Linked DNA regions of Mus musculus. The protein of the gene in region 2 interacts with the protein of the main gene of each other region in a biochemical or structural test. Links are inferred from orthologs where the notes say so. Each region holds a gene or a part of one and is shown on either strand. Other genes may lie near its edges.

The links. The genes of interacting proteins can lie anywhere in the genome.
Region 1: the proteins of Bcl2l1 (region 2) and Bmf interact in a test that uses a peptide from one of them, tested with the Homo sapiens proteins (2 studies listed by BioGRID). The link is inferred for Mus musculus from reciprocal best matches to the Homo sapiens genes BCL2L1 and BMF.

The regions. Positions count from the first base shown.
Region 1 is NC_000068.7:118,530,403-118,532,846, forward strand, and holds part of Bmf (bcl-2-modifying factor), read right to left. Parts: intron 2,258-2,444; coding exon 2,156-2,257; 3' UTR 1-2,155. UniProt on the Homo sapiens protein: May play a role in apoptosis. Isoform 1 seems to be the main initiator.
Region 2 is NC_000068.7:152,828,495-152,832,094, forward strand, and holds the start of Bcl2l1 (bcl-2-like protein 1), read right to left. Parts: upstream 2,224-3,600; 5' UTR 1,892-2,223; exon of another isoform or gene 1,693-1,891; intron 1,627-1,692; exon of another isoform or gene 1,609-1,626; 5' UTR 1,497-1,608; coding exon 933-1,496; exon of another isoform or gene 1-932. UniProt on the Homo sapiens protein: Potent inhibitor of cell death. Inhibits activation of caspases. Appears to regulate cell death by blocking the voltage-dependent anion channel (VDAC) by binding to it and preventing the release of the caspase activator, CYC1, from the mitochondrial membrane.

The DNA of each region.
Region 1 (2,444 bases), about 34 Mb from region 2:
TCCCGGCTTGGCCCAAAATGGAGACAGTACATTCTGACCAGCTTCTGCCTGGTCCAGGCTCAATGTTCAGGTCAAACTCTGGGCTCAGTTCTCAGGCCACAGGGTACCCAGCCTGCACCTAGCAAGGTTGCTGAAGCTGACAGTCATGCCTTAGGACAGATGGAAAGTCTACTAAGTTATGTTAAAGATAACTGAAGTACAAGGTTCTGTATGGGGAGGGGCACGCATGTACCATCAAGCACATGTATTGCAGCACATGTACCAAGCACATACCAGAAGCCTGCCTGTCATAGCCTTGATCCAGGAAAGGGGAAGACCACATATGTCCCACACACATCTAAACTGCAGGGAGGGTGGGATGTAGGAAGGCTGGGCTTCACAAATAATCAAGCCCACCCTCAGAACCAGTCTTCATATTCATTACTTGGGTCCCCTCTCCTTGCAAACAGAAACCCACTTTCTTAGCAGACGAACTATGGTATAGACCCTGAGAAAAATGATTGTGGCCAAGAAGAGGTAATATCTCCAGGTCATCTGAGCAGAAAAACACAAAGGCTTATACACATGCCTTAAGGTCCTCCTCAGGACCACTGAGAGTGCACACAGTACCTTTGTGCAAATTAGGAAAGACATTCCTTACTCTGGGCAGACCCTGCCCACATCAGGATGTGCAGCCTAGAGAGCAGGGCACAGGCTGGACCTCAGCCTCTATGAGCCCCCTCTGTCGGTAGCCTTGGCAGGGAGAAACCTGCCCAACTGGACACCCAGGAGATCCGGTGCCCTTTTATGGTACTGAAATCCGCCCCCCCCCCCCACTTCTGCAGAATGGGGAGTCACTGGGCTTGTTCAATTTGAGTCTACTCTGAGTTTCTCCTCCAAAGTCCTTGAATAATCCTGTGTTCTTCTTTGTCTAGGGAAGCCATCTTTCTTTGAGCCTTGGCTCATCTTCATTATAGCACCAATGTCTTTCCTTACATACATAACACTTAGGACTTAATTTCTAAGATCAGCTGCTTTTCGTTCCCTCCCTGAGCACTGCAGCGGGGAGAGAAGGAAGGAGCTCCCAGGCAGCTAAGGTCCTGCTGGGTTCTAGAACTCTCCTTTCTGGCCTAGCTGAAAGCTAAAGGGAGATTCAAGATGTGTCAGCTCTGCAGTTTCCATGGTCTAAACATTGTCTGTTACTTCCAAAGTCACTTTTCAGCTGACAAAGCCTCAGTCCTAGCTTCTTCCTGTATCCCGCTAGGTACAGAAAAGGAATGGGGGTAAGGGGGAGGAGGTACACGTTTCCAAGGAAACCAAGAGGTCTAGGATTCCCCCGGGACCAACTTATCAGTGGGATGGCTGCTGGGTTCCCACGCCCCCAGCAAGCCCACCCCATCTCCAAGTGCTTCTGCTGAGATGGATGCAGACAGATCCAGTCCAGTCATTGGCAGGGTCTTCTGAAAACAGAGCTGACAAAGGCACAGGCCGCTGGGTACAACGGCATGGTGACTGGCTACTTGGCTCCAGCAAAGGTGGCAGTAGTTTGCACCCTTGGGGACCAATCAAGGGGCTTCCATGTAGGACCGAGTCAGACTTGAAGCCTCTCAAGTTTGATTCATTTTGTGGCACCTTTGAGGGGTTCTTGGAGAAGTCCGACCCTCCCTGAGGTCTTCCGGAAGTTGACAGCGTCTGAGTAAGAATCCCTGAGCCCATGCGGTGGGCGCTGGCTGTGCCAAGTGGGAACCCAGACGTGAATCGGGCTAGCCAAGGCACAGTTGATCTTAGCCAGGAGGCTCCCAGACAGGGTCCTGGTGGGTTAAAGCCATGATCCATCAGGCACGAAGGAAGGCTGACATGTTTGATGGTACTGGGAGCCTAACCTGACTTAACCAGCTCCGGTAGCAAGTCTCAGTCCACTTCCTGGAGAACATCACCAACTGGTCATCTTCAGAGCCTTAGGAACTCTACCAGCAGACACAGCTGCCTCTCCTTCAACAGTGTTTGACAAAGGCCCCCATCCTCAGTGGAGGTTCTGAACGGGGAAAGAAGATCCCACTGGGGCATGTAATATGTACACATGGATAGAAAGTTACGGATAACAAAACTTAACAAGACAGTATCTGTCCTCCCAGACTGCATTCCTGGTGATCCATCCGGCCAGGGCGGTCCAGCCTCACCAGGGCCCCACCCCTTCCCTGTTTTCTTGTCTGTTCAGGGCGAGGTTTTGAAGGAAAAGGAAGACCTGCCACCACGCACGGTCTCGGTTCTGCTGGTGCTGTAAGGAAAAGAGATGACCGTTAGGTGTCAGGCCACAGGCTCCTTACTGGGTCCCCAACAGGCTCCCACTGCCAGATCTCAGGCTGGCACCTTTGTGCCATCCAGCAAACTGGGGGACAAGAGACGAACCTCCCAAGACAACTGCAGCTTGGGCATTAAATACACCACGCTGGGCTGTGTGTACT
Region 2 (3,600 bases):
AAGCACTCATTGTGTCAGCCTCTGCTCTCTTTATCTTTGGGTCACAATAGTCTGTTAGAAACTAAGGCTCTAGAAGGTAAACCAGCCTGTCCAAGGTCACATGGCCAGTTAAGTGACAGGGCCAGGACTCACACCCACATACAGTCTGTCACCAAATCTTAATTTCCTATGGAGCCTCACAAACCAGGTTCTTGCTCTGCCAGCAAACAGTGCTTCAGTAAAGAGGCCCCAGGGCCCTGACCAGAAAAACACTGGGCAGAGCAGCTGGAGATCCCCAACCAATCCAGGGCAGCGAGGTGCAAAGTCCTGGGGCTTGATATGGCACAGGAAGGGCTCTACAAACAAGCCAACCATGCAGAAAGTTGCACACTTTGGGGAAAAAGAACTTAGGAGCACAGCACAAACACCATTGGCCCAGACCACCCTCCTCTAAAATCAGACAATACTCAGCCACTCTAGCCAGTGGGGGCTCCTGACTGGCCAAATGGTCTGAGTACCATGCATGCAAGTACACAGCAGCCTGAGGTTCCAGTTCTGCAGTTTCCTGGGTATTATGTTCATCACCCCAGCCAAGGTGACCCATTTCATGAGAGTGAGCAGAACGCGGGGAGAACTTGCTGCTCTCATAGGTTTTAAGCCAAGTAAACACATAGGCTGTTTTTCTTTGCTGAGAAATTGGAACAAAACTATGAAACTGTGGGGCCACAAGGGTAGCCAGGATGAAAGATACAGGTCCCTTAAAAATTGGGTCATCTATATTTCCAAAGTTAACCTCTTGTATTAAAATGAAGCCAGGAAGGTCTCCTGAACAATCGGTATCTTTAACAACCATGCCATATAACAGAAAGAGACCAAAAAGGGCAGTTTTAGGGATGTTCACAGAGAAGAGAGACACAAGCAAGGGGCGGACACACAAGGGGCGTGGTTCTTACCCAGCCGCCGTTCTCCTGGATCCAAGGCTCTAGGTGGTCATTCAGATAGGTGGCCATCCAACTTGCAATCCGACTCACCAATACCTGCATCTCCTTGTCTACGCTTTCCACGCACAGTGCCCCGCCAAAGGAGAAAAAGGCCACGATGCGACCCCAGTTTACTCCATCCCGAAAGAGTTCATTCACTACCTGCTCAAAGCTCTGATACGCGGTCCCTGGGGTTATGTGAAGCTGGGATGTTAGATCACTGAACGCTCTCCGGTACCGCAGTTCAAACTCATCGCCTGCCTCTCTCAGCGCTTGCTTCACTGCTGCCATGGGAATCACCTCCCGCGCATCCAAACTGCTGCTGTGGCCAGTGGCTCCATTCACGGCCGGGCTATCCGCCAGGTGCCAGGATGGGTTGCCATTGATGGCACTGGGGGTCTCCCTCTCTGCTTCAGTTTCTTCTGGGGCCTCAGTCCTATTCTCTTCGACATCACTAAACTGACTCCAGCTGTATCCTTTCTGGGAAAGCTTGTAGGAGAGAAAGTCGACCACCAGCTCCCGGTTGCTCTGAGACATTTTTATAATAGAGATGGGCTCAACCAGTCCATTGTCCAAAACACCTGCTCACTTACTGGGTCTGCTCTGTGTTTAGCGATTCTCTTCCAGGATCCAAAGCCAAGATAAGGTTCTGAAGAGAGAGAGAGAGCTTCAGGAGAAAAATTTAATATGCATGTCATTTACCTTACAATATTCCCATTCCTCCTCCAGGTACCAGAATTGCTTTCTTTGTGGCTCTTATGAAGGTCTGAGTCCGGGTTCTAAGGGACTTCAATGAAGTCAAATTGAAAGGACCAGCCAGCTTTGAATTGTTTCATCCGCCTCTTTTTACTACAACCACCCACCCCCTTTTCTCCGAAATGCCTTTCTCCAAAAGTCACCCCCATTGGCATATCCCCACCACCACCACCTACATTCAAATCTATCTCCGGCGACAGCAAGCAGGTACAACCCCCGGAAGGTCTTTTGTATCATAGGTCGGGGAGGAGGTGGTGGCTGGGTCGCCGGTAACTCAGCAAAAAAAAAAAAAAAAAAAAAAAACCAGCCCCGGCCGGAGGGATCATGCGACCTGGTAGGCAGCTCAGAAGGCGACAGAGGAATTGCGAAGCTTAGGAACCTGCCCCCTCACAACCTGGTTCCTCCATCGACCAGATCGAGGGCGGCCTCTCTCTGCTCCGCAGGCTCCAGCCACCCGGGAGCCCAACCCCCTCGCTCTAGCACGCCCCTTGGCTCTCCGCCTCCTACTGGGAGTCAGGAGAACTCTCCCGGAGGTATGGGTTTAGTGTAATTTCCCCCCACCCCTCCTTTCTTTCTTTCTATTTAAGTACCAGCCCTAGATGAGGCTTCCGAAACCCTAAAGGGACTTCCAAGTGAATCTCAAGGTTTCGCGCAGGGACGCGGACAGGGGGAAGACAGCCTCGGATCTGTGATCTGATTTCGGAAAGACCACTCCCGGGTTTTTCCGAGAGGCGTATGCTGGAGACCCCCCACAAACACCGCTAGTTGTCTTTGAATTCCCCAAAGGCCCTGGACACAGCACTGGGGGACGGCCAGGTCCTCCATTCCGCGCCCGGACACAATGGCCGCCGGCACCCCACGCACAAAGACGGGGTGAGAGAGAGGCACTGAGCCCCGCCACCGGCCAGGAAGAAGGGTCGGGGCTCCCACAGTGGAGACCTCGTTTTTCCTGAGGCCGAGCCCAAGGCGGCCTTCTGGAGCCCCCTGCAGGGCTCGAGGGCCGGAGGCCGCTCCGCGCCGGAGCCCCGGGTGGGTGGGCTGAGGCCTCGCTTACTGCTCGCGCTCCCCTAGGCCGGGTACCCGCCGAGCCACCGCCCCGTTGCTAGGCAACCGCCCTCCCTCAGGGGCGCCCCCTAGACCTCTCTGGAAGGAGGGGTCTCGCCCCCGCGGCCCGCCCCAGCTTAGCCAATCCGCGGGTCGAGTCGGCACGGAAGCGGGACGGCAAAGGCTCCCATTGGGCCCAGCGCCTGTCAGGCACAGGGGAGGCGGCGCTCTCACCTGCGAGCCCCAGAGAGCCGTGGGGGGCCACATCCCCCCTTCATAGGCCCAGTGGCTTCCAGACACTAGGGCGTTTTGCGGCTGGGAAGTATGCCGCGGACTTAAGCCTGCCTACCTGGCTGACTGCTCGTGCTGAATCTCCCGGAGAAGCCGGCCTCAGTTTCCCCTGAAGAGACCGGGGGAACTTGCAAGCGCAGCCACTTCCGGTGCCGCGGCAGCGCGCGCGAGCCCGAGACGCAAAAGGAGTGCGCGCCAGAAAGGGACTGGCATCGAGACATGGGAGAGCAGCGACCCCTGGCGAGCGATTTGAGGAGTCTCAGGCGCGTGGAACGTTTATGGTTCACATTCCTTCAATCTAGTTCCTTCATCCATCTGTCCCTTTGTATACTACAGAAAAAGTGCTTTTTCCTTTCGATGTCGGTGTCCAACATCGAACAGGTTTCTCAACTTGTGTATTTCCCCCCTCACTTTAAAAATAGACAGCAATATTGACCTTTCATTGACTGTGTATCAGGTACTACTTGAAAAGCCTGAAGAATAGAAAGCCCTTAGTTTGGTTTGTTGAAGACACAAGGCAAGGCAATGTCTCTGTTTTTATGAAGACTTA